Linked DNA regions of Macaca mulatta. The protein of the gene in region 4 purifies or fractionates together with the protein of the main gene of each other region. This does not show direct contact. Links are inferred from orthologs where the notes say so. Each region holds a gene or a part of one and is shown on either strand. Other genes may lie near its edges.

The links.
Region 1: the proteins of KPNB1 (region 4) and DLGAP5 purify together in Homo sapiens (affinity purification with mass spectrometry; 4 studies listed by BioGRID and IntAct, with this or other methods). This does not show direct contact. The link is inferred for Macaca mulatta from reciprocal best matches to the Homo sapiens genes KPNB1 and DLGAP5.
Region 2: the proteins of KPNB1 (region 4) and NUSAP1 purify together in Homo sapiens (affinity purification with mass spectrometry; 3 studies listed by BioGRID and IntAct, counting the BioPlex papers as one, with this or other methods). This does not show direct contact. The link is inferred for Macaca mulatta from reciprocal best matches to the Homo sapiens genes KPNB1 and NUSAP1.
Region 3: the proteins of KPNB1 (region 4) and LARP7 purify together in Homo sapiens (affinity purification with mass spectrometry; 3 studies listed by BioGRID and IntAct, with this or other methods). This does not show direct contact. The link is inferred for Macaca mulatta from reciprocal best matches to the Homo sapiens genes KPNB1 and LARP7.
Region 5: the proteins of KPNB1 (region 4) and RANGAP1 purify together in Homo sapiens (affinity purification with mass spectrometry; 3 studies listed by BioGRID and IntAct, with this or other methods). This does not show direct contact. The link is inferred for Macaca mulatta from reciprocal best matches to the Homo sapiens genes KPNB1 and RANGAP1.
Region 6: the proteins of KPNB1 (region 4) and NUP214 purify together in Homo sapiens (affinity purification with mass spectrometry; 3 studies listed by BioGRID and IntAct, with this or other methods). This does not show direct contact. The link is inferred for Macaca mulatta from reciprocal best matches to the Homo sapiens genes KPNB1 and NUP214.
Region 7: the proteins of KPNB1 (region 4) and RCC1 purify together in Homo sapiens (affinity purification with mass spectrometry; 3 studies listed by BioGRID and IntAct, counting the BioPlex papers as one, with this or other methods). This does not show direct contact. The link is inferred for Macaca mulatta from reciprocal best matches to the Homo sapiens genes KPNB1 and RCC1.

The regions. Positions count from the first base shown.
Region 1 is NC_133412.1:128,323,669-128,328,243, forward strand, and holds the start of DLGAP5 (disks large-associated protein 5), read right to left. Parts: upstream 3,139-4,575; 5' UTR 2,943-3,138; intron 654-2,942; 5' UTR 653-653; coding exon 415-652; intron 1-414. UniProt on the Homo sapiens protein: Potential cell cycle regulator that may play a role in carcinogenesis of cancer cells. Mitotic phosphoprotein regulated by the ubiquitin-proteasome pathway.
Region 2 is NC_133412.1:18,723,103-18,726,893, forward strand, and holds part of NUSAP1 (nucleolar and spindle-associated protein 1), read left to right. Parts: intron 1-2,308; coding exon 2,309-2,417; intron 2,418-3,791. UniProt on the Homo sapiens protein: Microtubule-associated protein with the capacity to bundle and stabilize microtubules. May associate with chromosomes and promote the organization of mitotic spindle microtubules around them.
Region 3 is NC_133410.1:121,873,297-121,877,245, forward strand, and holds part of LARP7 (la-related protein 7), read left to right. Parts: coding exon 1-150; intron 151-1,914; coding exon 1,915-2,015; intron 2,016-2,132; coding exon 2,133-2,216; intron 2,217-2,348; coding exon 2,349-2,513; intron 2,514-2,593; coding exon 2,594-2,687; intron 2,688-2,755; coding exon 2,756-3,106; intron 3,107-3,198; coding exon 3,199-3,343; intron 3,344-3,382; exon of another isoform or gene 3,383-3,450; intron 3,451-3,512; exon of another isoform or gene 3,513-3,580; intron 3,581-3,678; exon of another isoform or gene 3,679-3,747; intron 3,748-3,855; exon of another isoform or gene 3,856-3,923; intron 3,924-3,949. UniProt on the Homo sapiens protein: RNA-binding protein that specifically binds distinct small nuclear RNA (snRNAs) and regulates their processing and function.
Region 4 is NC_133421.1:62,353,645-62,357,593, reverse strand, and holds part of KPNB1 (importin subunit beta-1), read left to right. Parts: intron 1-1,242; coding exon 1,243-1,325; intron 1,326-1,833; coding exon 1,834-1,941; intron 1,942-2,897; coding exon 2,898-3,041; intron 3,042-3,159; coding exon 3,160-3,265; intron 3,266-3,949.
Region 5 is NC_133415.1:10,225,122-10,229,070, reverse strand, and holds part of RANGAP1 (ran GTPase-activating protein 1), read right to left. Parts: intron 3,475-3,949; exon of another isoform or gene 3,194-3,474; intron 2,080-3,193; exon of another isoform or gene 1,950-2,079; coding exon 1,800-1,949; intron 1-1,799. UniProt on the Homo sapiens protein: GTPase activator for RAN. Converts cytoplasmic GTP-bound RAN to GDP-bound RAN, which is essential for RAN-mediated nuclear import and export. Mediates dissociation of cargo from nuclear export complexes containing XPO1, RAN and RANBP2 after nuclear export.
Region 6 is NC_133420.1:16,423,190-16,427,853, reverse strand, and holds the start of NUP214 (nuclear pore complex protein Nup214), read left to right. Parts: upstream 1-1,694; 5' UTR 1,695-1,813; coding exon 1,814-1,858; intron 1,859-3,411; exon of another isoform or gene 3,412-3,513; intron 3,514-3,944; coding exon 3,945-4,140; intron 4,141-4,664. UniProt on the Homo sapiens protein: Part of the nuclear pore complex. Has a critical role in nucleocytoplasmic transport.
Region 7 is NC_133406.1:212,365,826-212,369,774, reverse strand, and holds part of RCC1 (regulator of chromosome condensation), read left to right. Parts: intron 1-13; exon of another isoform or gene 14-218; intron 219-510; coding exon of another isoform or gene 511-533; coding exon 534-721; intron 722-901; coding exon 902-1,081; intron 1,082-3,331; coding exon 3,332-3,428; intron 3,429-3,539; coding exon 3,540-3,662; intron 3,663-3,949. UniProt on the Homo sapiens protein: Guanine-nucleotide releasing factor that promotes the exchange of Ran-bound GDP by GTP, and thereby plays an important role in RAN-mediated functions in nuclear import and mitosis.

The DNA.
Region 1 (4,575 bases), on a different chromosome or scaffold from region 4:
TGAGGCAATATAGATAAAGTGTTATAATACTCCATAGGTAAATGGCTTTGCCTTAAAGACAGTAGTTAGTTGTAGAAAACAGGTTAAGGGGCCAGGCGTGGTGGTTCATGCCTGTAATCCCTACGCTTTGGGAGGCTAAGGCAAGAGAATTCCTTGAGCCCAGGAATTTGAGGTTACAGTGAGTACACCACTGCATTCCTGCCCAGGTGACAGTGAGACCCTGTCTCTTGTAATTAAAAAAAAAAGAAAGAAAGAAAGAAAGAAAGAAAAAAAGATAAAAGACCAAAAAAGAAAAGTTATTTATAGAATGATATTTCAAAATTCTTCTGGCCAGGGTTTTTTACTCACACAGGCATTAAACCAACTATTATTCACTCTTCAAAGTACTTAAAATTACAACAGACCTTTACTTACTTGGCTTAACGATGGCCTTTTCTGGAATAAGCTCTTGAGAAGTCTCATCTAATTCAACAAGAATTCTACCTTCCAAGGTTGGAATGTTTACATCTTTCAAACCAAAGTGTCTATTTCGTTCGTATTCCTTATGCCTGTTTTCTTTCTGAGACAGTGATTTCCTATGAGCAATTTTAGTTCTAATCATTTCAGTACTTAAATCCTTCCTGTGTCGACTGGCAAAATGTGATGAAGACATCCTGTCAAGGAAAAGGACAAAACCCAACTTACATGAATTTTCATTATTTAAAAAATTAAGATTATAGTTCATCTCCTGTCCCACTTCAGGGCCTTCTGAAATAAAAATATAAAATGTGCAATGAAAGAAATATGTAACACTGAAAAGTGGGAAGATGATTATCAGAGCATAAGAAGCTACCTATTTGGGGGGTTTTAAATAGGAACTTGCTTGACCGATGAAGAGAAAGCCAGGAAGCTATAGTCCAGAATAAAAGAGGCTCTGGGCTTAGAGAACACTGCAAAAAGAAAAGCGTGAACTAAAGGTGAAAATAGGTTAAGTGAAGGACCATGTACAGAATGGTTTCCTTACCCATGACGACGAATGCAGGTAGTCTAACATTTCCTCTAAAGCCAAAAAAAAAGCAAAAAAAACCAAACAAAAACCCCACACCAGGTACCTATTAGTCATGTAGAGATAATCAATAGGCAGCCAGATACAGATAGAGTTGGATAGAGAGGCACAGGGCAAAGTATGTGGAAAGGAACAAGGAGCTTCCATGCTCTCTCAGGTAGCACCACCGTTTAGGAACCTTCATGTGTTCACCTAAGAAGCTCTCCAAACACAGGTGTTTTTTTTTTTTTTTTTTGTGGTTTCTATGGCAGCTTCATTACATAAGCATGAGTGATTAAATCATTGGCCACTGGTGATCAAGTCAACCTTCAGCTCCTCTCCCCTCCCCAGAGGTTGTGAGGTGGGGCTGAAAATCCCAACTCTGTAATCCTGCCTTGGTCTGTCTAGTGACCAGCCTCAATCCAGAAGCTACTGAGAGGCATCCAGCTATCAGTCAATCATTAGCATACAAAAAGATACCACTTAGAAGACTCCAAGGATTTTAGTAGTAGTTTACCAGAAAACAGAACAAGACCAAATACATAGTTCACAATAACCCTATCAGTTTGCTCCATTATTTTCATCCATACAAGAAATCATACAGTTTAGGCTGGCAGGGTGGCTTAGGCCTATAATCCTACCACTTTGGGAGGCCAAGGTAGGAGGATTGCTTGAGCCCAGGAGTTTGAGACCAGCCTGGGCAACATAACACGACTCCATCTCTATAAATTTTAAGAAAGAAAAGCCATACACACATACACACACACACACACGCACGAAATCATATAGTTTACTTGGCACATGCCTTTTTCTTGGAAAGATCTTTGAGAATGTATTCAAGCAAAACAAAAGAGGACAATAAAGACGATGCCAGTGGGTCCAACTGGGAACAAAGAAAACTGGAAAGTTTGAGGGGGTCACCTGGGTAGCTGGTATAGAGAACTACCAAGCCAAACTGGAGAAAGGATACTGATTCTCAGAAGTCTTGGCAGTTAAAAAACAAAAAACAAAAAAAAGGTAAGGGGGGAGGCTCTGTGATAGGCACACTATGGTATACTCTTTAACAAGAATTAACTAAATCCACTAGAAAACTCCAGACAATAGGAAAATTGGCACAAGTAATGCAATAAATTGTTACATGATTCTTAGCAATCGACAAAATATAAAAAATGAGAATCTGACCTGCACGCTAATAACATTCTCCTCTAAGACCCAAGGAAAGTGACAATGGACTGTGCTTTTCATAAAGAACTCTTTTCCACTATTTATCTCCTGCAGCATTAATTCGCTGAAGATTGAAGAAAAATTAACACTTATGTATTAAATACAGGCCAGCACTATCCACAGCAAGAGAAAGAGCGAGCGAGGACAACATTAAAGGTATAATTATCAGAATAACCCTGAAAGATAGTTACTATTATCGCTCTCATACAGATGAGGTCAATTAACAGCTCACATCAGCATATCTAAAAGGTGGTGAAGCCGGGATCCCAAGCCAGGCACCCTGACTCTTCACACACACCTAAATTTTGTTTGGCTGAGTGGCGTTTCCTCCAGCTTGAAAGTCTAGAATGCGTTAATCTTGCTTGACTAGAGGTTCTCAACCGGGCGTTTTTAGTTGCCATGGGACCTGGGAAGAGCTACGGAAATTTAATGTCGGAGCTAGTGAAGAACAGTTTCACCCCAAAGGCCAATTACGCCCCGGTGGTGAAACACTGACTTCTACAGAGGTCACGACAAACATACGGACTCTTCTAAAGGTTCGCGTTATCAGCTTCAGGAAGAGCAGGTAACACCCTCCTAAAGGAGCCTGCCTCTGACTGGCTCCGACGCTCGCAGTCCCCGGTCCTCAGACCCTTCTAGACCTTCAACGGAAGCGGGCCAGCGTTCTCCGTCCAGCTCTTCAGCACCCACCTACCTGAGGCACCTTCTAGCGTGAAACCTCAACCAAACAAAAAGTAAAAAACACTCGTTCTGGACGACCACCGCCGACTCCGAAGCAGGAACCCTCACAACCCGAGCCTCCACGAAATTCAAACTTTCCGCACGGAGCCGCTGATTGGAGGGGTTTTAACCAACACTTCCGTGGAAGATCCCGCCCCTTCCACTCAACTAGGCTTGCGATTGGTTTGCTCCTTGCGATATTTGAATTGATTGAAAGGTGAAGGGACGGTTCAAAAGATGGGTGTGAGAGGGAAAATAGGCGGGACGGCGACGCGGGATGAGAAGGGGTGGAGCGGTGAGGGCGCTCACCTCAGGTGAAGGGCAGGAGTGGGCGGCGGAGCCCAGGGGGTGATGCTGGGCCCCTGGCGAAACTGGGCTGCGGGAAATCTCCCCCAGAACTCCTGCGGCTTTTTTTGGTTTTGTTTTTGTTTTTTGAGACAAGGTATCAGTCTCGCTCAGGCTGGAGTGCAGTGGGCACCGACCACTGCTCACTGCTCACTGCTGCCTCGACCTACTGGGTTCAAACCATCCTCCCACCTCAGCCTCCCGAGTAGCTGGGACTATAGGCGCGCACCACCACGCCTGGCTAACTTTAAAAAAATTCTGTAGAGACAGGGCTTCACTACGTTGCCCAAACTGGATTCAGGGCTTTTTAATATCTTTGTTTAGTCACGGAACCCAGCAGACCTTCTTGAAATGTTTTCTTTACTATACGTTTTTTAAAAAAGGCTTACCCCAATTATTAAAAACTTACATCGTTTAGTGTTACTTTTCAACGTCGCTAGCCCCTCCCCCCCTTTTTTTCTTTTCTAGTTTGTTTTTTGTTGAGGTGAAGTTTTCGTACAGTGAAAATAATAGTTTTTTGCCGGGCGCAGTGGCTCACGCCTGCAATCCCAGCACTTTGAGAGGCCGAGGCTGGCAGATCACAAGGTCAGGAGATCGAGACCATCCTGGCTAACACGGTGAAACCCCGTCTCTGCTAAAAATACAAAAAATTAGCCGAGCGTGGTGGTGGGCGCCTGTAGTCCCTGCTACTCGGGAGGCTGAGGCAGGAGAATGGCGTGACCCTGGGAGACAGAGCTTGCAGTGAGCGGAGATCGCACCATGGCACTCCAGCCTGGGCGACAGAGTGAGACTCTGTCTCAAAAAAAATAAATAAATAAATAAAAAATAATAGTTTTTTTCCCCCCAGTGGACAATTTGATGAGTTTTGGTAAATGTACACAGCTGTGTAACTACCACCCAATCAGGACGTAGAGCATTTCCATCACTCAGAAGAGTGGCCTGTTTCTTTCCAGTCCATCTCCCACCGCATCAGCAACCACTCCTCTTATTTCTGACACTATAAAAATGAAGGTGATAGGTACTCTGTTGGGTCTGCGTGAACCAGAAGTTAGTAGTGTTTGTTATTGAGAGGCATTCCATTGAATACTTTATGCATTCGCCAGTTGATTGATATGTATTGCTTTCAATTTTTGGCTATTATGAGCAAAGTTGCTATAACCATTCTTGAACAAGTCCTTGTGGGCATGTTTTATTTTCCTTGAGGAAATACAGGAGTGGAATTTCTGGGTCGTTCTGGGTATGTTTAACTTAATTTTTTTTTT
Region 2 (3,791 bases), on a different chromosome or scaffold from region 4:
ACCCGGGAGGTGGAGCTTGCAGTGAGCCAAGATCACATCACTGCACTCCAGCCTGGGGTACAAAAAAAAAAAAGAAAGAAAGAAAGAAAAGAAAAACAACTCTGCCTCTAAAGTTGTTAAAAAAAAAAAAACCCTAGTGACCCAGTGGAAGCCATATGTGACTACCTAGAATTCCTTTCCCCTGCCTCTGCTTCCACATAGACCCGTGATTTAAAAGACTTTTCATTAAACAATTAATAATTACTTGATTCAGCAGGGTGCAGTGGCTGATGGCTGTAATCCCAGTACTTTGGGAGGCACAGGCAAGAGGATGACTTGAGCCTGGGAGTTCAAGAGCAGCCTGGACAACTTAGCAAGACCCTATCTCTACCAAAAAATTTAAAAATTAGCTGGACATGGTGACACGTGCCTGTGATCCTAGCTATTCAGGAAGCTGGGATGTGAGGATTGCATGAGCCAGGGAGGTTTGGGCTGCAGTAAGCCATGACTGTACCACTGCATTCCAGCCGGGGCAACAGAGTGAAACCCTATCTCAATAAAAAAGAAAAGCAGGACATAGAGCCAGGTGTAGTAGTATGTATGCCTGTACTCCCAGCTATATGGAAGGCTGAACTGGGAAGATCACTTGCAGCCAGGAGTTCAAGGCTGCAGTGTATGCTATGACTGTGCCTATAGAGAGCCACTGAAGCCCGTCTCGACTACTAAAAATACAATAATTAGCTGGGCACGGTGGCGTGTGCCTGTAGTCCCAGCTACTCGGGAGGCTGAGGCAGGAGAATTGCACGAACCCCAGAGGCAGAGGTTGCAGTGAGCCGAGATCGTGCCAGTACACTCCAGCCTGGACAACAGAGCTCCGTCTAAAAAATTAAAAAAAAAAAAAAGGCTGGGCGCGGTGGCTCACGCCTGTAATCCCAGCACTTTGAGAGGCCAAGGCGGGCGGATCACAAGGTCAGGAGATCGAGACCATCTTGGCTAACACGGTGAAACCCCGTCTCTGCTAAAAAAAAAATACAAAAAATTAGCCGGGCGCGGTGGCGGGCGCCTGTAGTCCCAGCTACTTGGGTGACTGAGACAGGAGAATGGCATGAACCCAGGAGGCGGAGCTTGCAGTGAGCCGAGATGGCGCCACTGCACCTTAGCCTGGGCGATGAGCAAGACTCCATCTCAAAAAAAAAAAAAAAATTAAAAAAAAACAAAAACTATATTTAAATTTAAAAAACAGGCCGGGCGCGGTGGCTCAAGCCTGTAATCCCAGCACTTTGGGAGGCCGAGACTGGAGGATCACGAGGTCAGGAGATCGAGACCATCCTGGCTAACACGGTGAAACCCCGCCTCTACTAAAAAGAATACAATAAACTAGCCGGGCGAGGTGGCGGGCGCCTGTAGTCCCAGCTACTCGGGAGGCTGAGGCAGGAGAATGGCGTGAACCCAGGAGGTGGAGCTTGCAGTGAGCCCGGATCGCGCTACTGCACTCCAGCCTGGGCAACAGAGCCAGACTCCGTCTCAAAAAAAAAAAAATTTAAAAAACAAAACAGGCCGGGCGCGGTAGCTCAAGCCTGTAATCCCAGCACTTTGGGAGGCCGAGACGGGCAGATCACGAGGTCAGGAGATCGAGACCATCCTGGCCAACACGGTGAAACCCCGTCTCTACTAAAAAGACAAAAAACTAGCCGGGTAAGGTGGCGGGCGCCTGTAGTCCCAGCTACGCGGGAGGCTGAGGCAGGAGAATGGCGTAAACCCGGGAGGCGGAGCTTGCAGTGAGCTGAGATCCGGCCACTGCACCCCACCCCGGGCGACAGAGCAAGACTCCATCTCAAAAAAAAAAAAAAAACACAAAACAAAACCAAAAAAAAGCAACACGTAAACTTCCAGAAATTGGGTCCCAGTTCTTTTTTGTAAAATTGCAAATTGGTTGGACACAGTGGCTCACGCCTGTAATCCCAGCACTTTAGGAGGCCAAGGCAGGCAGATTGCTTGAGAACAGGAGCTCGAGACCAGCATGGGCAACATGACAAAACCTCGTCTCTACTAAAAAATACAAAAATTACCTGGGCATGGTGGTGTGTGCCTGTAGTCCCAGCTACTCATGAGTCTGAGTTGGGAGGATCACTTGAGCCCAGGAGGCGGAGGTTGCTGTGAGCTAAGATCAGATCACACCACTGCACTCCAACCTGAGCAACAGAGTGAGATTCTGTCTCAAAGAAAAAAGTATAATTGTCAATAGCAGGTAACCACAGATGAAGGGAATGAAGTTGGGAATATAAATCAAACAATCTTCTTAAAACTCTTTGTCTCTGTCCTAAACTAGGAAAGCTAAAACCATGGGGGCAATCTAAAGAAAATAATTATCTAAATCAACATGTCAACAGAATTAACTTCTACAAGAAAACTTACAAACAACCCCATCTCCAGACAAAGTAAGTACATAATTATCCAGCTTTATAATTATTTTAATTTCAAAAGCAGCACCTTGGCCGGGCGCGGTGGCTCAAGCCTGTAATCCCAGCACTTTGGGAGGCCAAGACGGGCGGATCACAAGGTCAGGAGATCGAGACCGTCCTGGCTAACATGGTGAAACCCCATCTCTACTAAAAAAAATACAAAAAATTAGCTGGGCGTGGTGGCGGGCGCCTGTAGTCCCAGCTACTAGGGAGGCTGAGGCAGGAGAATGGCGTGAACCCGGGAGGCGGAGCTTGCAGTGAGCCGAGATCCGGCCATTGCACTCCAGCCTAGGGGACAGAATGAGACTCCGCCTCAAAAAAAAACACAAAACAAAAGCAGCACCTCTGAGGGATAGAGACTCAGTAATAGTGGTGTTTTAAGGGGAGGTTAGAAGTGGTATCATGGGCCAGGCGTGGTGGCTCACACCTGTAATCCCAGCACTTTGGGAGGCTGAGGCAGGCGGATCATGAGATCAGGAGATCGAGACCATCCTGGCTAACATGGTGAAACCCTGTCTCTACTAAAAATACAAAAATGAAAAAAAAAATTAGCCAGGCGTGGTGGCGGGCACCTGTGGTCCCAGCTATTCGGGAGGCTGAGGCAGGAACCCGGGAGGCAGAGCTTGCAGTGAGCCGAGATCGTGCCACTGCACTCCAGCCTGGGCAACAGAGTGAGACTCCATCTCAAAAAAAAAAAGAAAAGAAAAGAAGTAGCATCATATATAGAACTTTCTGAGTACATGTTCCAGTGTAATGGACTCCAAATCAGCAGGTTTGGGGTGAGGCCCAAGCACCTGCATTGTTTCCAAAGCTCTGCAGGTGATTCAGAAGAAGACCCAGATTCAGAGCACTGCTCTTGCATGACTCATCTGCCTCAACACAGGGCATGTGGGTATCTCTCCTGATACCAATGCCCAGCAGTCCAGGGCACCTACGTATCCAGATAGACATCAATTCCTCACTCCTAAGGAAGCCAGGCTTACAAGGCATCAAGGCCCTATAAAGAGGAGCACCCAGGACGGTCCTTAGAGGCTTCCTTCAGCATGAAAACCAAGTTAAAGCCAGAGCTCATCCTAGGTTGTAGCAAATCATGGTTGGGCCCAGATTCCCTGCTTGGACCCTCATGACACAGGGTTACCTATCATTTGACTCATGGCTATACATGACTGCGCCAAGGCCTTTGCTCGCTGTTATTAAGTTGGCTGAGTGAGGTGGCTCACGCCTGTAATCCCAGTACTTTGGGAGGCCAAGGCAGGTGGATTACGATGTCAGGAGTTCCAGACATGGAGAAACCCCATCTCTACTAAAAATACAAACTTAGCCAGGCGTGGTGGCGCATGCCTGTAATCC
Region 3 (3,949 bases), on a different chromosome or scaffold from region 4:
AAAAGAAAAAAGAAGTTGAAAAAAAGAAACGGTCACGAGTTAAACAGGTGCTTGCAGATATTGCTAAGCAAGTGGACTTCTGGTTTGGGGATGCAAATCTTCACAAGGATAGATTTCTTCGAGAACAGATAGAAAAATCTAGAGATGGATGTAAGTTTGCTTCAGTAAAGGAACCAACTTTTAGATGTGGTTGCCTTTCAATTTATTTATAAAATAGTATATCTATATATTTTTTTGAGATGGAGTCTTGCTGTGTTGCCCAGGCTGAAGTGCAGTGGCATTATCTCAGCTCACTGCAACCTCTGCCTCCTGGGTTCAAGTGATTCTCCTGCCTCAGCCTCCTGAGTAGGTGGGGCTACAGGCACGCACCACCATGCCTGTCTGATTTTTGTATTTTTAGTAGAAATGGGATTTTACTATGTTGGCCAGGCTGGTCTCAAACTCCTGACCTCGTGGTCTGCCCACCTCGGCCTCCCAAAATGCTGGGATTACAGGTGTGAGCCACTGCACCCAGCCTAAAATAGTATATTCTATAATGTATGTATTCGTTTCTGCAAGTATGTTCCTTGTCATCTGTTTTAATTTTTATTTAGTGAATGACAGTCTTCTAAATATTTAGACTGTTGGTAAGAGTTTAGGCTATATTAAATAAGCAGTTTCGGCCGGGCACGGTGGCTCACGCCTGTAATCCCAGCACTTTGGGAGGCCGAGGCGGGCGGATCACAAGGTCAGGAGATCGAAACCCCGTCTCTACTAAAAATACAAAAAATTAGCCGGGCGCGGTTGTGGGCGCCTGTAATCCCAGCTACTCGGGAGGCTGAGGCAGGAGAATGGCGTGAACCCGGGAGGCGGAGCTTGCAGTGAGCTGAGATCGCGCCACTGCACTCCAGCCTGGGCTGGGCGACAGAGCGAGACTCCGTCTCAAAAAAAATAAATAAATAAAAATAAAAAAAATAAATAAATAAGCAGTTTCATATCAAAGCTTGTAAGTATTTTGGGATTTAATTGCTTCAATAACCATTTATCATGTGTAACTTGAGATGAGAGTGCTATGCTTTAGTTCATACAAGAAGGCATTTCACCTAGCTCAATGTTATTTTTTGTTTCACATTTTTTGAGGCAGGGTCTATCTTTTTTCCCTAGGCAGGAAATGCACTGGCTCCATGTCTGCTCACTCCAACTTCTGCCCCCACCTCCACCCCCTAGCCCTACCCAAGCTGTCCTCCAACATCAGCCTCCCCAGTAGCTGAAAACACAGGCAAGCATCATCAGGCCTGCTTTTTCTTTTTCTGGCATTTTTAGTAGATATGGGGTCCCACCATGTTGCTGATCTCGAACTCCTGAGCTCAAGAGATCTACCTTCGCCTCTAAATTGCTGAGATAAGAGGCATTGAGCCACTGTCCCCAGTTGATAAATTTCAAATGACCAGCCATGTGCTTGTTTCTAATAGGATGGGATCCAGACATCCTCTTTGAATGTCTGGATGTTGCTAAGCAATAAAACCTCAATCTGCAATTACATACACTAAGATGTGTCATTTTAGGTATGCCAAATATGCAATACCATTTAGACCCTCACACAACAATACTGTTAATGGACAAAGTCTGTCTCCCAGGCTGGAGTGCAGTGTGATCTCAGCTCACTGCAACCTCTGCCTCCTGGGTTCAAACGATTCTCCTGCCTCAGCCTCCAGAGTAGCTGGCATTACAGGCATGTGCCACTACACCCAGCCTAATTTTTTGCCAGGCTGATCTTTAACTCCCCCATCCACCCGCCTTGGCCTCCCAAAGTACTAGGATTACAGGCATGAGCCACCAAGCCCGGCCTGAGGGGCAGGTTAAATTGTACCAGATTGAATTAATCCTGCTGATAGTGTACACTAACACAATTATTAACTTTTTCATTTTCATTAGATGTTGATATATCACTACTTGTGTCTTTTAACAAAATGAAAAAATTGACTACTGATGGGAAGTTAATTGCCAGAGCATTAAGAAGTTCAGCTGTCGTAGAGGTAAGAATTAAGAATGACTGCCATTACTATATAATTATAGTTTATAAATAATATTAACGTAATGATCATTATTATAGTTTATTATAGTTTTATTAATGTAATAATACTCTTTTAAAGCTTGATTTGGAAGGCACCAGAATCAGGAGGAAAAAACCTCTGGGGGAAAGACCAAAAGATGAGGATGAGCGCACTGTGTATGTGGTAAGCTTAAGAGCCCGGGTCCCCAGTCAGAAACTGGCACAGAAACAATGTAATTAAGTTAAAAACTTATTGACATTCTGAAAATATAAGCATTGCAAAAAACTATTTAATATTGCTTTTAATTTATCACAGGAGTTACTTCCCAAAAATGTTAATCACAGCTGGATTGAAAGAGTCTTTGGGAAATGTGGCAATGTTGTTTATATCAGTATACCACATTATAAGTCTACTGGAGATCCAAAGGGATTTGCGTTTGTGGAATTTGAAACAAAAGAACAAGCAGCAAAGGCAATTGAGGTAGGTCCAGATCCTAGAAAAAAAAAATGTATAGATATAACAAGTATTAAAATAGTAAAACTTTTTTTCAATCATTTCAGTTTCTTAACAACCCACCAGAAGAAGCACCAAGAAAACCTGGCATATTTCCTAAAACAGTGAAAAATAAGCCCATTCCAGCCTTAAGAGTTGTGGGTGAGTATTTTTCAATATTTAAGTAGATGTAATTGAAGTAAGATGAACTAATGATGGCACTTTTACAGAAGAGAAGAAAAAGAAAAAGAAGAAGAAGGGCCGAATGAAAAAGGAAGACAATGTCCAAGCCAAAGAGGAAAATATGGACACAACCAACACCAGCATCAGTAAAATGAAAAGATCCAGGCCCACATCTGAGGGCTCTGACATTGAGTCTACTGAACCCCAAAAGCAATCCTCAAAGAAAAAGAAAAAGCGGGACAGAGTTGAAGCATCGAGCTTACCTGAAGTCAGAACAGGCAAGAGGAAGAGAAGCAGCTCTGAAGATGCAGAGTCCCTGGGTCCGCGATCAAAAGTAAAGAAAATTATTCAGAAAGACATCATTAAGGAACCTTCAGAAGCTTCCAAGGAAAATAGAGGTAAACTGCAAGGTTTTATTTATATAAATTAAGCTTCTGTTTCACCCATTTCACAGCCGCAAGTCTTAACTGGCTTTTTTATTTATTTCAAGATATAGAAATCTCTACTGAAGAGGAGAAGGATACTGGAGATCTAAAAGACAGCTCTCTCTTAAAAACAAAAAGGAAACACAAGAAAAAACATAAAGAGAGACATAAAATGGGAGAAGAAGTTATACCATTAAGAGTACTATCAAAGTAAGTCTGTGGTTTAAATCCTGTCATTAGCTTAACAATCCATCACCATTGCTAAAGTGCAATTCCAATTTGTGTTCAACAGAGTTGCATATTAGCAACAGTAGTGGCCTGTAGCAAAGAACTGCACACAATGTGGGCGTTAACGCAATCGATGATTAAGTAGGAACCACCACACTCAAACATGGAAGCACTTATTTTTGTCTTACCACAGCAAGTGCCTCCATGTTAAAGTAGAGGGGGCACCTTAACAGACTTAAAAATACAAAATAAAGCTTAAATAAACGAGAATAAAATCCTTTTCTAAAAACCTTATAAAAATGTAAAAGGAAGACTTACCATCACCAAAACATGGAAGCACTTACTTCTTTAGTTTCAAAGCAAGTACATCCACGTTTAAGTGGTGGGAAGCCCAGTCTTGGACAAACTTAGAATCCTTTAACCTGTAACAAGCTTAGTAAGCTTGAAACACAGTAACAAAAAAAATTAACAAAAGGTGTGCTGACTTGGAGACACCTCCACTGAAACATGGAAGCACTTACTTTTGTTTCACACAGCAGGTACCCCCATGTTAAAGCAAAGGGGATCCCTTCAACCTCTTAAGGAGAG
Region 4 (3,949 bases):
CTCAGGCTGGCCTCAAACTTGTGGGCCCAGGCAATCCTCCTTGCCAGGACATTAAAGAATTTTTGACTACAGAAAGCATAGTCCTTTTACTGGGGCATAAGTCACTTCAAAGTTAGATTGAACTTAAGTGCACACCACTTAAATTTGTATAACTGCCTTGTCAGTCAATTTAAATGGAGAGCCAGTTTGCAGCTAAGATTGGTAGAGGTGGTTTCTTTTTTTCTTTTTTTTTTTTTTGAGACTCGTTCTGTTGCCCAGGCTGGATTGCAGTGGCACAATCTTGGCTCACCACAGCCTCCACCTCCCAGGTTCAAGCAATTCTTCTGTCTCAGCCTTCTGAGTAGCTGGGATTATAGGCGTTAGCCACTGTGCCCTGCCAAAAGTTTCTATTTTCTTTCCTGGTACTTGCCATCACCTGATTTGGTTCGTAATGCTTTTGGACTAAGGTTGACACATGGTGCCTGGTATGGGATGAAATGAAACATTGAGCAAGTTCTAGGAATTGATTTTCTGATTTTTACATGTCTGCAAAATTGGTTTGGGGAAGCCATATCTGACTTAAGACTCTTTGAAGGGCCATTACAAAGCACTTTAGGAATCTGGAATGCCTCTTCATGTGTGGCCTGTAAGTACATTACTAAGGCCATTTACCTGAGGACCACTCTCCTGAGGACCAGACCTGTTTTTGGCATAAACAGCCTATGTCCAACTGGTCTGTCAACATGTGACCACTCCTCTGAAAGGGCAAAGAAGTTAATTTTGGCTCCTGGAGTGGCTGATTTGGATCTGAAGCCCAGTGCTGCTTTTCCTGACTGTGGCTTGTTTAGCCCTTGATGGGACTGCCTAAGGACCCTGTTTTGCAGCTGGCCTGCAGAAAGGACATGCTGTTATCAGATGAGGGGGCGGACAAGAGTCAGTACTGCTGGTTCAGACCATTTAAAATTAACCCCAACATTCCTTGAGGGCCATACCACTTTGTTGTATTAGCCAGAGTAAAGCCCTATTCTGTGGAGAGTGGGCATTGTCTCTGTGGTGTAAGAATTAGGGCCCTTCCAGCAGTAATAAATTTGGCTTATGCAAGCCTTTAATGTCTTCATGATGGAATCGGTAACTAACATACATTCCACCCAACCTGTTGAGTGGAGTGAGTCCATTTTGGGAGAGGTAGGTTATAGGTTATTTTTACCTGCCTCTGTGTTAACCCGTGGTGCTGTCATTGGCTAATAGTTTATTTCATTACAGTGTTGGGTGGTGAATTCCTCAAGTACATGGAGGCCTTTAAACCATTCCTGGGCATTGGATTAAAAAATTATGCTGAGTACCAGGTAGGATATGCTTTTCAAAATAGTATATTCCCATTTATACCTGATAGTCACTGTAGTGCAGACAAAACCAGGTTCTTATAGCTTAAGTAGTTTTCCTTATACATTTTCCTAAAAGGCAAGCTGCTTTATTCATTGCCTGAATATTTGAACTGGAAGTAGTCCATGAAAAACAGGATATTAGATGCACCAGATAAAGGTGGATAAGATGACTGTTTATTTGCCTAGACAGTACTAATGCGGGAGCAGCTGTAAAGTTGAGCTATCAGCACCCTGGAGAGCAAGGCTTTTTTTTTTGTTTTTTTAAACCTTTATCAGTGATCTCTCTCAGATAGTCTTTGTTCCCTTCCTGCCGTGTTGGTTGCTGAAAAATTAATCTCGGCAGAGGGAAGATGTTTTCTCCTTTGACTCTAGGTTCAAGTGATAAAAGCCTAGCAGCTAGTTAAAAATAATGTCTTGCCCCAGCAGGCAGCCTTTTCTGTTAGAAGATTATTTCCTTGATTCTTGGCAGGTTTGTTTGGCAGCTGTGGGCTTAGTGGGAGACTTATGCCGTGCCCTGCAATCCAACATCATACCTTTCTGTGATGAGGTGATGCAGCTGCTTCTGGAAAATTTGGGGGTGAGTATCTACACACAATCTAATTAACCAGTCTTCTTTGAAGAAATCAATAGTTGGAAAGATAGTTAAATATCGACAGGCCAGGCACAGTGGCCTGTAATCCCAGCACTATGGGAGGCCGAGGTAGGTGGGGTCACCTGAGGTCAGGAGTTCGAGACCAGCCTGGACAACATGGTGAAACCCCGTCTCTATTATAAATACAAAAAAAATTAGCCGGGCGTGGTGGCAGGGGTTTGTAATCCCAGCTTCCCGGGAGGCTGAGGCAGGAGAATCGCTTGTACCTGGGAGGTGGAGGTTGCAGTGAGTCAAGATCGCGCCATTGCACTCCAGCCTGGGCAAGAAGAGCCAAACTCCATCTCAAAAAAAAAAAAAAAAAATCAGTGACAGGGAGCTGTGAGTTTCTAGAACATTGGCTTTGGGCTTATAAACAGGGGAGTTGTTCATTTCACGGATGATTCTAAAGAAAGTGTAAAGTTAATTAAAGGAATGTGTGCTCTATTAGAGGTTTTTAAAACAAAACAGTAAAATGCAAAGGAAAAGTAAATACAGTTGTTCTTTGACTTATGATGGAGTTAGGTCCCAATAAACACATTGTAAAGTAGAAAAACCATCATGAGCAGGGGACCATTTGTATATCATACCTCTCTCCAGAGGTAGCCATTGTTAATTATTATACGTGTCTTTAAGTTCTATATCCAACTTTGCTACTTTGCTTCTGTGTTCTCGGACAAGTCACTTGACTCTTAAGTCAGTTGCCTCATGTGTAAAGTGGGAATGCCAATACCTGGCTAGCTTCTTAGAGTTGATGTGAGGTGCAATTGGGAAAGGTTTTGTAAGCTATAAAGGACCATCCAAACATTTAAAATCAGTAGTTGCTTGTTAGAAATGAAATTTTTGTGGATCTTTGGACCAAACAAGTTTTGACTTAATTGATTTTTCCTTTTGTTCCTTGTCAGAATGAGAACGTCCACAGGTCTGTGAAGCCGCAGATTCTGTCAGTGTTTGGTGATATTGCCCTTGCTATTGGTGGAGAGTTTAAGAAATACTTAGAGGTTGTATTGAATACTCTTCAGCAGGCCTCCCAAGCCCAGGTGGACAAGGTAAGCTTAAAGCTATCTTGGCTGTTCTTTAAGTCTATCTCTAATTGGAGGGACTGTTGACAAACATGCAGCTAAAGGTGTTCAGTATGATGTAGGTTCTGTTCTTTGTGTCTTACAGTCAGACTATGACATGGTGGATTATCTGAATGAGCTAAGGGAAAGCTGCTTGGAAGCCTATACCGGAATCGTCCAGGGATTGAAGGGGGATCAGGAGAACGTACACCGTTGAGTATACAATCCAGTTGCCTTCGTCCACTGGCCAGTGTGCACTTAGCCAAATGGACTATGTCTGTCATTCTGTAGCTTGCTTGTGAATTAGTGCCTGTTGCTTAAAGGCAGGAAGAAGGGAGAGCAGTGCCCTAATGAAGAGAGTGGCTTAGGGAAGACTGTACAGTATTGTTTTTGCTGTGCTTCTGCTTTTTTTTTTCTTTTTTGTTTTGAGATGGAGTCTCATTCTGTTGCCCAGGCTGGAGTACAGTGGTGCAATCTCAGCTCACTGCAGCCTCCACCTCCCAGGTTCAAGCAATTCTCCTGCCTCAACCTCCTGAGTAGCTAGAACTATAGGCATCTGCTACTATGCCCGGCTAATTTTTACATTTTTAGTAGAGGCAGGCTTTCACCTTGTTGGTCAGGCTGGTCTTGAACTCCTGACCTCAAGTGATCTGTCTGCCTCGGTCTCCCAAAGGGCTGGGATTACAGGCCTGAGCCACTGTGCCTAGCCTTTTTAATTTTTTTTATTTATTCTTTTTATTTTTTTGGAGACGGTCTTACTCTATCACCCAAGCTGGAGTGCAGTGGCGTGATCATAGCTCACTGCAATCTTCACCTCCCGAGTTCAAGCGATTCTTATGCCTCAGCCTCCTGAGTAGGTGGGACTATAGGCACGCACCACCATGCCCAGCTAATTT
Region 5 (3,949 bases), on a different chromosome or scaffold from region 4:
AAAAAATTAGCCGGGCGTGGTGGTAGGCGCCTGTAGTCCCAGCTACTCGGGAGGCTGAGGCAGGAGAATGGCATGAATCCGGGAGGCAGAGCTTGTAGTGAGCTGAGATCGCGCCACTGCACTCTAGCCTGGGTAACAAAGCAAGACTGTCTCAAAAAAAAAAAAAAAGAAATAAAAAAAATACAAAACTAGGCTGAAGGTCAGGCACAGTGGCTCACGCCTGTAATCCCAGCACTTTGGGGGCTGAGGTGAGTGAATCACCTGAGGTCAGGAGTTCAAGACCAGCCTGTCCAACATGGTAAAACCCCATCTCTACTAAAACACAAAAAAAGAAAATTAGCTGGACATGGTGGTACATACCTGTAGTCCCAGCTACCCGCCCAGCAGGCTGAGGCATGAGAATTGCTTGAACCCAAGAAGCAGAGGTTAAAGTGAGCTGAGATCGCACCACTGCACTCCAGCCTGGGCAACAGAGCAAGACTATGTCTCAAAAAAAAAAAAAAAAATTAGCCAGGCATGATGGTGTGAGCCTGTAGTCCCAGCGACTTGGGAGGCTGAGGCAGGAGAATCACTTGAACCTGGGAGACAGAGGTTGCAATGAGCCAAGATCGTACCACTACACTCCAGCCTGGGTGACACAGCGAGACTCATCTACAAAAAAAAAAAAAAAAAAAAGGCCGGGCACAGTGGCTCACGCCTGTAATCCTAACACTTTGGGAGGCCAAGGCAGGCAGATCACCTGAGGTCAGGAGTTCAAGAGCATCCTGACCAATATGGCAAAAATCTGTCTCTACTAAAAATACAAAAATTAACCGGGTATGGTGGCACATGCCTGTAATCCCAGCTACTCAGGAGACTGAGGCAGGAGAATCGCTTGAAACCAGGAGGGCAGAGGTTTGCAGTAAGCCGAGATCGTGCCACTGCACTCTAACTGGGTGACACAGCCAGACTCCGTCTCAAAAAAAAAAAATAAAAGTGATAAACGCACAGGGAGGAAGTCTATAAATGTTAAGGCCTTATGAAGATGTTAGGAACATGTGTCACCACGCTCCCAGCTACCCAAGGACTCAAGCAGCCTCTGACCTGGGGGGAACAAGGCTGCCTACACAACATGACAACCAGGCATGTCCAAACCAGTTCCCCTGGTTGGGCCAGAATCCCAGGAGGCCTCACTTGACACAGGCGCCTTCATTTGCTGGTGCCAGGGGATTCAGGGTTGGTCAGTGGCAGCGAAGCCTTGACAAGGGATGAAAAGATAGGGTCTGCGCTCTGGTTCCTCGTTTTCTGTGGTTACAGTACCTGTATACACACAGACAGCCATCCCTCTCCCAGGTACATCTGGCTGCATGAACCAGCATCTCCCAAGAGGGCCCAGGTTGTTTTAATGCAGCTCCAACACAGCCTCAGCTCTGGGGAAAGCTGCACCTATTGCCAGGCCTGCCTGAGATCATGAGAGTAAAGGGCAGGGGTGGGAGAACACCAGATGTGAAGTCAGAGTCAGAGGCTGTATCTTGGGACTGGCACTAACTGTGGCCCCTCATTACCTACCATCCCCTCCTGAGAAAGAAAGGACAGGGCACAAAGGGATGCCCACTGCAAACATGCAAAGCTCAGGGGAGCTTGCACATGGGCAAATGATCTCTGAGCCTCATTGTTAGAAGGGGGTCAATGATACCTAACAGAGCTTCTGGGACAAATAATGGAGACAATGTAGCAGAAAGAGCCTGATAACCAGTAAGAGTTCAGTACACTCCCTTTCCTCCCCTGGACACACCAGTGCGCAACTTCCAGAAACTCACCATCTTCTGCAGTGTTGAGTTTAAGGCTCTTGCCCTTGAAACTCAGCTGTCCCCCGGCCACCTGAGTCTTGGCCAGTGTCTCTGCCAGCTTGGCAATGTCTTCCGAGGCCATGCTGACTAGGCTGGTGGGCTCCCCTGGAGATCTGCAGACTGAAGAGGCCGAAGTTGCAATAAGAAAAAGGAGTCTCCTGGGGCCCCTGGTTGGGGGGCAGGGTAGGACATAGTCATCTCAGGAGTCTGACCGTACCTCCCCTGCTATGGAGACCCTACAGCTAAACCACTGGAAGAAAGGAAAACAGCATCAGAGAATGAACAGTTCCAGAAGGTGCAGGAGGTAGTAAGAGAACAGAAAAATCATGTTTTAGCCTATAAGGAGCTACCATCTCATTACAAGTCCTCCTCTGCCAAACCGCTGCAGCTGGGATGCCCAGCAATGCCATGTGAGCTGCCCATTTCCTGGACCCTGTCAGTGAATGGCAGTCAAGTCCCAAACCAAAGGCTGCAGAGTCTGGCCCGAGCACACACCTGCTTGAGCATCTTGGCTGCTCTCTGCTTGAGGGTCACATTCCTCAAACAGGACACAGATGGCTATGGGATCCAGATCATTCATCCCAGAGAATGCCCCACACCCACACTGGCATGACTCTGGGGTGGGGCACAGGGGTCAGCCCCACTGCACGTCTGGTTTCAACCCTGGCCGGGAGACTAGGCAGGCCACAGTGGCCTCTCAGGGTTTTCTAGATCAGAGATTGCCACATCACAACAGCTACCATCATAATAGGACAGGGACAGGGCTGCCACCCATGAAGCCCTACTATACCCAAGTTTACCAGGGGATCTGGTTGGAAATGGGGTTGATGAGCCTCACTGTTTATAAAGTCAGGAGTGCTGGTAAAAGAAGTAAAGCTGGCCAGGTGCAGTGGCTCACACCTGTAATCCCAGCACATTGGGAAGCTGTGGCGGGAAGATTGCTTGAGCCCAGCAGCTCAAGCTGGGTAACATGGCAAAATTCCATCTCTATTAAAATAAATAAATAAATAAAATTAGCGGGGGATGGTGGTGTGCACCTGTAATCCCAGCTACTGGGGAGGCTGAGGTGGGAGGATGCTTGAGCCCAGGAGACAGAGGCTACAGTGAGCCATGATCTCACCACTGCACTCTAGCCTGGGTGACAGAGTAAAACCCTGTCTCAAAAAAATAAAATAAAAATAAAAATTAGCTGGATGTGGTGGCACATGCCTGTAGTCAGTCCCATCTACTGGAGAGCCTGAGGCAGGAGGATCACTTGAGCCCAGAAGTTCAAAGCTACAGTAAGCTATGACTGTGCCACTGCACTCCAGCCTGGGCAACATCGGGAGACTCTATCTCTAAAAGTAACTAAATAAATTAAAGAATTTTTTTTTTTTTTTTGAGATGGAGTCTCGCTCAGCCACCCAGGCTGGAGCACAGTGGCGCAATCTCGGCTCACTGCAAGCTCCATCTCCCGGGTTCATGCCATTCTCCTGAATCAGCCTCCTGAGTAGCTGGGATTACAGGCACCCGCTACAATGTCCAGCTAATTTTTTTGTATTTTTAGTAGAGACGAGGAGGTTTCACCATGTTAGCCAGGATGGTCTCGATCTCCTGACCTCGTGATCTGCCCACCTCGGCCTCCCAAAGTGCTAGGATTACAGGCGTGAGCCACCTTGCCCGGCCAATAAATGAGAATTTTTAAAACAACAAGTAAACCTTTAAGAACTCCTGCGCCTACTCATGGTACTCCAGCTTTACTTGGAGTACATGTGAGATTAAACGTCTCTCGTGTACTGCCTGACAATTGAAGCCAGCTATATTAGACGGGAACGTGGAACATCACTACATACTTGTATAGTGTTCACTTTGTGGTATGAATAAATGTGTCTGTGAGATGCTCCAAAAAAAGAGGAGAAACAGCAAGTAATCAGGACAGACCAAGGAAGCAGATATGAGGGGCAGAACTAGGGGGTGCTATCCAAAAGGCCTTCTCCTACAGCCTCCTCATTCTCAGATACAGATGTGATACCCTGAATCCTGCCACCCCTAGGCTTCCTCTGGGTTCAAACTTATCACCCTGGTTTGTCTATGTCTTTATCAATAAGCATGAATTATTATTCTGGGTAAGGTGTCCACTC
Region 6 (4,664 bases), on a different chromosome or scaffold from region 4:
CAGCAAATTGTGAACAAGCTAATACAGTAAGAGATTAAATGAGCGCATCCTGTGCATTTGGTCTGAGACAGCTGAAGTTCATTTATCCTACCTCCCTCCCTGCAAGAGACAGGTTCTATTATGTCATCCTTGTTTCCCAACCGAAAAGCAGGCTTGGATAAGCAACGTGCTGAAAGCCAAACAGTAAACGGCATGATCTGACCCCACTGGAGCCAACCCATGAGGTCCAAGTTAAGAACCTCTGTCCTAGAGCATTTATAATTCACTACAGAAATTTATTGTACGAAAGACTGTAATATCATCAGTCAGCCTTATATCCAGACAATCTCAGTTCTCATCCTGTCACTACCACTTTCTGACTGAGGGCCACCGGAGAAATTTCTCAACTTCCCCTGTGCTTCCCTTACCTCAACAATTATTATTATGTATGTGGATGTGTATATATACATATATATATCTTTTTTTTTTTTTTTTTCCTGAGACGGTCTCTGTCACCCAGGCTGGAGTGCAGTGGCGCAATCTTAGCTCACTGCAACCTCCACCTCTTGGGTTCATGCCATTCTCCTGCCTCAGCCTCCTGTGTAGCTGGGACCACAGGCGTCCACCACCACGCCCGGCTAATTGTATTTTTAGCAGAGGTGGGGTTTCACCATGTTGGCCAGGCTGGTCTCCAGCTCCTGACAGGTGTTCCACCTACCTCAACCTCCCAAAGTGCTGCGTACAGGCGTGAGCCACCGCGCCCAGCCCATTTTTATTTTTTGAGGCAGGGTGTGGCTCTGTTACCCAGGCTGGAGTGCAGTGGTACAATCACAGCTTACTGCAGCCTCGACCTCCTGGGCTCAAGCAATTCTCCCATCTCAGCCTCCTGAGTGTGCTGAGACTACATGCGCATGCCATCACTGCTGGTTAATTTTTGTGGTTTTGTTTTGTTGTTTTTTGTAGAGACGGGGTCTCGCCATGTTGCCCAGGCTGGTCTCAAACTCCTGGGCTCAAGCAATCCTCCTGTCTCGGCCTCCCAAGTGCTGGGATTATAGGCGTGAGCCACCGGCGCCTGGCCTACCTCATCAATTAAATAATAACCCCTAGGATGACTAGAAGTCTTCAAGATTACATGAGATCCCACATCTGAAGGTTTTTGCAAAGGACGTGGCACAAACTCGTGCAACTAGAGATGCATATGGCTCTTGCTCTGGAAATGATCACCTTGATAGGAGCAAACAAAGCTGGTCTTCCGTGCCCTTTAATCTCCCCTTCCAGCCTTCCACCTTCCACACTGGCGACCCCCCAACCCCGTTTTTCTGAACCTCCCTTCCTCCCCTTGCATAGCCCAAAGCCTCTCTCTAAAGTAGCCCACCGAAAACATCTGTCAAGTTCCTAACTTATCTGAATCGGAAGCTACTAATAGCCAACCTACATCTAAGAGGAACTGTAAGGTGTCAGAGGAACAAGGAGCATAGGTCGCTTAGACGTGGGCCACCCAAGAAGACAGATTGACACTAAGCGAACCCGCGCTGTCTGCGAAGGCGGGAGCGGCACCAGGACGATCCAGGGCGCAGGCGCCGGGGCCCCACGGCCACGCCCCTATTCAGCACGAGTTGGCCAATGGGGAGCGGCGGCCGGGAGAACGCGCGGCTTCTTTAGGTTCCGCTGCCTCCCCGGCCAAGCTTGACGTCACCAACGCGCGCCGGAAATGCGAGATCAACTGCGCGCCGCTGGCGCTGAGGGAAGGAAGTTTGCAGTCCAGCGGCCTAGGTTCTGTGGGCAAGGCCGTGGGAGGCAGCGTTGGCTGCTTCGACACACCGAGGGCGGCGCGATGGGAGACGAGATGGATGCCATGATTCCCGAGCGGGAGATGAAGGTCAGAGACTAACTGGGGCCTCCCTCCCTTCTTTAGTCCTGGCGTTGCCTTGGAGCCCAGCTGAAAGGCGAAGCGCGGTGCCGGCTGTCCCGTCTCCTGCTTGAACAGACTACCGCGTTCACCGCTCTCAGCTGCGCGTCTGCCGCGCCGCTGGCGTGATAGCCCCACCGAATGCAGTTTCCCAGTCCCATCCTGGTCTCGTGCACGTCTCTTGAGTTACCCTAGCTAGTTTCATGTGGCGGTCACAATAGTGGCAATAACTGCTGTGTATGGAGCGTTGACTGTGTGCCAGTCGCTGTGTAGTCATCGCAGCAGCCCTACGAAGTGGTTATTAACGTAGAGGAGTAAGTCGAGGCTCGGAAAGTGATTTCCCTAAAGTCACATTTGACAGCGGGGCTGAAAGCCAGCATCGTTTAAGACCTTCGCTCTGCCAGTATTTCTGTAAGGCGGTACGGGCTTGCCTAACGTAGGGTCAGGGGAGGTCATCCATCCTGCAGAACCTTTAGTTGACTGGACTAGGAAGACTGTTTTGATATCGGTGTATCAGCCTCAAACCAGGAACCTAAAGGGAGGGCTAAGTGTTTCCAGTGATGGCAACGTGGGAGTCCCCCAGGGATAACTTCAGGATGGTGTGTTTAATAGTTCTTATATGTGTTCTGACAGAATGAGGGTGCAGCAAACGGCCTACATCTGTTTTAAATAGTGAAAGGAAGTAAGATGCAGGAAGATTTTAGTCATCTGTGTGAACAGTAAATCACTAACATGCATGTAGGGCATAGTAATACATACCCTGTTTAGAATAGTGATTTTTTTTTTTTTTTTTTTTTTTGAGACAGAGTCTCGCTCTGTCTCCCGGGCTGGAGTGCAGTGGCCGGATCTCAGCTCACTGCAAGCTCCGCCTCCCGGGTTCACGCCATTCTCCTGCCTCAGCCTCCCGAGTAGCTGGGACTACAGGCGCCCACCACCGCGCCCGGCTAATTTTTTGTATTTTTTAGTAGAGACGGGGTTTCACCGTGTTAACCAGGATGGTCTCGATCTCCTGACCTCGTGATCCGCCCGTCTCGGCCTCCCAAAGTGCTGGGATTACAGGCTTGAGCCACCGCGCCCGGCCTTTTTTTTTTTTTTTTTTAAGACATAGTCTCGCTCTGTCACCCAGGCTGGAGTGCAGTGGCATGATCTCGGCTCGCTGCAACCTCCACCTCCCCAGCTCAAGCGATTCGCCTGCCTCAGCCTCCCGAGTAACTGGGATTACAGGCACCTGCCACCATGCCTGACTAATTTTTTATATTCTTTGGTAGAGATGGGGTTTCACCATGTTGGCCAGGCTGGTCACAAACTCCTGACCTCAAGTGATCTGCCCTCCTCTGGCTCCCAAAGTGCTGGGATTACAGGTGTGAGCCACCGTGTCGGCCTAGAATAGTGATTATTTTTTGAGAATCACCACCTGTGGTGAGCCACCTAATGGGATTGTGTCATATTCCTCAGATATACTGGGGTAGAAGAAAAAAAGGGTTTATTAATAGAATCACAGACTTAGAAGATGGTAATCTCAGACTCCCTTTGGCAGCACATATAAAATTGGGATCATGCAGAGAAGACTAGCATGGCCCCTTTACATGGATGACACACAAATTCGTGAAGTGTTCCATGTCAGAAAACACTGAAGGCCGAGCGGAGTGGCTCACGCCTGTGAGCCTGCACTTTGGGAGGCTGAGGCGGATGGATGACTTGAGGTCCGGAGTTCGAGACCAGCCTGGCCAACATAATGAAACCCTGTCTCTACTAAAAATACAAAAATTAGCCGGGCATGGTGGTGGGCGTCTGTAGTCCCAGCTACTTGGGAGGCTGAGGCAGGAGAATTGCTTGAACCTGGAAGGCAGAGGTTACAGTGAAGCAAGATCGCCCACTGCACTCCAGCCTGGGCGACAAAGCGAGACTCCGTCTCAAAAAAGAAAAAAAGACAACTGAGACAGACCGTGTTCTCAGTAATATATATTTTTGTTGTACTGAAATTGGGTCTACTGAATATAACTTGTTTTAATTTCTTTATTTATTGAATTGATCTTGTTTTGATTCTTCACAACAGGATTTTCAGTTTAGGGCGCTAAAGAAGGTGAGAATCTTTGACTCCCCTGAGGAATTGCCCAAGGAACGCTCGAGTCTGCTTGCTGTGTCCAACAAATATGGTCTGGTCTTTGCTGGTGGGGCCAGTGGCTTGCAGATTTTTCCTACTAAAAATCTTCTTATTCAAAATAAACCCGGAGATGATCCCAATAAAATAGGTAAGTTCCGTGGTTTATGTTGCAAAGTAGAGAGAGGAGTGTGGTGGCATGCTCTTGTGTTTCCTTCCCAAGAAGTCATTCTAATACTAAAATGAACACTGCTGTCAGTTTGAAGGTTGACTCCCAAGAAGATTAATGGAAGCCTTTCTAGGTTTTCTCCTTGGTCCTTTGTACTTTTCCTTACATGAGTTGTTCTTCTCAGCTCAAGAGGGAAGAACTTAACCATTATGCCATACTTTTATTCTTGCCCAGTTGAACTTGGGCTCTGGCTCTCTGGGTGAAGGGTTTTATTGGCATGGGTTTTCAGTTGGCACAACAGTACGATCCAAACTATTGGCAATGTGTACTATTTAGAGCATTGTTGCAAAAATATTTTCAACAAGGGCAACAGCCACAGTTAGTTTCCCCAGATAGTATGAGGAAGAATTCCTGGGATACTTAATGCATGATTATATCTCTTAAGAAAGTAAAGATTTATCTGTATAACTAGGTATTGGGGTGTATGTGTGTTTATGTAGATGCAA
Region 7 (3,949 bases), on a different chromosome or scaffold from region 4:
TTTTTTTTTTGAGATCGAGTCTCACTCTGTCACCTAGACTAGAGAGGGCAATGGCGCGATCTCGGCTCTGCCACCTCCGCCTCCTAGGTTCAAGTGATTCTCCTGCCTCAGCCCCCCCGAGTAGCTGGGATTACAGGCTACTGTTGGCCAGGCTGGTCTCGAACTCCTGTCCTCAAGTGATCCGCCCGCCTTGGCCTCCCAAAGTGCTAGGATTACAGGTGTGAGCCACCGTACCCGGCCCCTCTTGCCCTCTCCACCAAGATTCATTTCACAGTATCCAGTGTCTCCTTGTTTCCCTTTCTCCCCTTTCATGTGAATAATGTCCTCAGTTCTTAATCTCCACAAAAATCCTGTGAGAGAGGTATTTTGTTGTCCCCATTTCACAGATGACAAAACTTAGACTCAGAAAGTTCATACTAACGGTCTGTGGCAGAGCAAGGGCTTCCGCCCAGGTTTGTCTGATCGCAGAGCCTGCGACCTCTCCTCGCTGTAGTCATCCTCTACACTCAGGGTCTATCTTCTTCACCCTTCAGTCTCACACAGGTCCCACAGCACAGAACCCGGCTTGGTGCTGACACTAGGCCAGGGCGATGTGGGCCAGCTGGGGCTGGGTGAGAATGTGATGGAGAGGAAGAAGCCGGCCCTGGTATCCATTCCAGAGGATGTTGTGCAGGCTGAGGCTGGGGGCATGCACACCGTGTGTCTAAGCAAAAGTGGCCAGGTAGGTGTTGGGGGCTGGCATAGGGTTGGACAAGGCCTGGGATTGGGTGGCTTGGGGCAGGGCTTTTGAACCACACATGTTCACTGTGGAAATGGAGCTGGCTAGTCCAGCGGGGAGTGGCCTACATGAGAATGGACTGCGAGGCCAGACTTTGCATTAATGAGGGCATCCTGGGCACAGGTCTATTCCTTCGGCTGCAATGATGAGGGTGCCCTGGGAAGGGACACATCAGTGGAGGGCTCGGAGATGATCCCTGGGAAAGTGGAGCTGCAAGAGAAGGTGGTACAGGTGTCAGCAGGAGACAGTCACACAGCAGCCCTCACCGAGGATGGCCGTGTCTTCCTCTGGGGCTCCTTCCGGGTAAGGCTGGGTCTGGAAGTCTGCATGGGGCCTGAAAGGCAGAACTAACTGGTGGGGCCCCAAAGATAATCCACTTCCATGCATCCGTGGTACTTACTAGTGGGGAGATGAAAGCCCACAGATAGAGCTGAGGCCCAGACCCAGGATTCCAGCTTCTTCATGTGGGCCACACCACCAGCTGCTTCCTTGGATCCAATGTCATCAAGTGTCTGTCCTGGGAAGCGAGTGGGTCAAGGATGTCCCTGGGTTGAGGCTGATCCAGGAGGCCTGCTGTCTTCACCCATCTCCCTGACTTCCGTCTCCACCTCACCTCGCCAGCACTGCTTCTTCCACATTTCCCAGAGCTTAGATGGGGCAAGCAGGCAGGGATTGTTGCATCTCAGAGTTTCCAAGGTAGAGAGGAGTGTAGTTTAAAAAATAGATTCTGACCGGGCGCGGTGGCTCAAGCCTGTAATCCCAGCACTTTGGGAGGCCGAGACGGGCGGATCACTAGGTCAGGAGATCGAGACCATCCTGGCTAACACGGTGAAACCCCGTCTCTACTAAAAAAATACAAAAAACTAGCCGGGCGAGGTGGCGGGCGCCTGTAGTCCCAGCTACTCAGGAGGCTGAGACAGGAGAATGGCCCGAACCCGGGAGGCGGAGCTTGCAGTGAGCTGAGATCCAGCCACTGCACTCCAGCCTGGGCGACAGAGCGAGACTCCGTCTCAAAAAAAAAAAAAAAAAAAAAAAAATAGATTCTGGTTTTTTGTTTTTTTTCTTTTGAGAGACGAAATTTCACTCTTGTTGCCCAGGCTGGAGTGCAATAGTGCAGTCTTGGCTTACCACAACCTCTGCCTCCCGGGTTTAAGTGATTCTCCTGCCTCAGCCTCCCAAGTAGCTAGGATTACTGGCATGCGCCACCACGCCTGGCTAATTTTGTATTTTCAGTAGAGATGCGGTTTCTCCTGTTGGTCAGGCTGGTCTCAAAATCCTGACCTCAGGTGATCCACCCGCCTCTGCCTCCCAAAGTGCTGGGATTACAGGCATGAGCCACCGTGCCCAGGGCCAAATTCTGTATTAAAATTGTTTTCTTCTTACTATTTTTTTTTTAGATGGAGTCTCGCTCCATCAGCCAGGCTGGAGTGCAGTGACGAGATCTCACTGCAACCTCCTCCTTCCAGGTTCAAGCGATTCTTCTGCTTCAGCCTCCCAAGTAGCTGGGACTACAGGCGCATACCATCACGCCCAGCTAATTTTTGTATTTTAGTAAAGATGGAGTTTCACCATGTTGGCCAGGCTAGTCTCGAATTCTTGACCTCAAGCGATCTACCCGCCTTAGCATCCCAAAGTGCTGGGATTACAGGCGTGGGCCACCGCACCCGGCCTGATGGGTGTTTTCTTATCACGTCTATTTTGAATTTTTTATGGAGAATGTCACCCAGGCTGGAGTGCAATGACACAATCTCAGCTCACTGCAACCTCTGCCTCTTGGGCTCAAGCAATTCTCCTTCCTCAGCCTCCCAAGTAGCTGGGATTACAGGCACGCGCCACCATGCCTCGCTAATTTTTGTATTTTTAGGAGAGATGGGGTTTCACCATATTGGCCAGGCTGGTTGCGAATTCCTGATCTCAGGTGATCCGCCCCTCTGGGCCTCCCAGAATGCTGGGATTGCAGGCGTGAGCCACCGCGTCTGGCCTCCTTTCTTTTTTAATTAGAGATGAGATCCTGCTCTGTCACCCAGGCCAGAGTGCAGTGGCATCATCTTAGCTCACTGCAGCCTCAACTTCCTGGGCTCAGGTGATTTCTTCCACCTCAGCCTCGCAAGTAGTTGGTACTATAGGCTTGTGCCACCACACCCAGCTAGTTTTTGTATTTTTTTGTGGGGACGGGGTTTCACCATGTTGCCCAAGCTGGTCTTGAGCTCAAGCGATCTGCCTGCCTGGGCCTACCAAAGTGCTAGGATGACTGGCATGAGCTACCATGCCTGGCCCAGAATAGTATACTGAACGCCCGTTTACTTGCCACACAGTTTCAATGATTATCAACTTATGGCCAGACTTGTTTATCTCTATTTACATCCACTCTCTGACTCCTTGATTATTTTAATGCAAGTTGCAGACCATAAATGATTTCATTCGTAAGTATTTGAGTATGTGGCCCGGCTCCTGCCCACCTCTCCATCCCCATCTGGTGCCACTGCCCTTCTGGATTTCACTGGTATGGCGCAGGCAGGACTGGCTGATAAGTGCCCTGTCCCTCCCTTCTAGGACAATAACGGTGTGATTGGGCTGTTGGAGCCCATGAAGAAGAGCATGGTGCCAGTGCAGGTGCAGCTGGACGTGCCTGTGGTAAAGGTGGCCTCAGGTGGGTCTGGGGGTACTTGCTCGGGGCAGGACTTGGAGGACCTTGTTCTGGGGCTGGCCCAGCCTTGGGCCTTACAGATGTGGCCTGCATCCCTTACCTTTTCATCCTCAGGAAATGACCACTTGGTGATGCTGACAGCTGGTGGTGACCTCTACACCTTGGGCTGCGGGGAACAGGGCCAGCTAGGCCGTGTGCCTGAGTTATTTGCCAACCGTGGTGGCCGGCAAGGTCTTGGTAAGTGGCCTTGGTACCTCCAGCAGGGCAAATTGGCAGGCCACCCCCACAGTGAAGGCCAAAGGCGGGAAGGATTTGCTGTGGTCAGGCTTGCATCAGATGGACTTGTGGTATTGGTTAAGACTTTGGAGACAGACTGCTCTGGTAATTTTGCCACCTACTGTCTATGGGACTCTGAACATAGTTTCTTCATCATTAAATCTACCTACCTATAAACCTACTTCATTAGGTTGCTCTGAAGTTAAATGAGTTAATGAGAAGAATATCAGGCAGATGGTAAGTTCCAT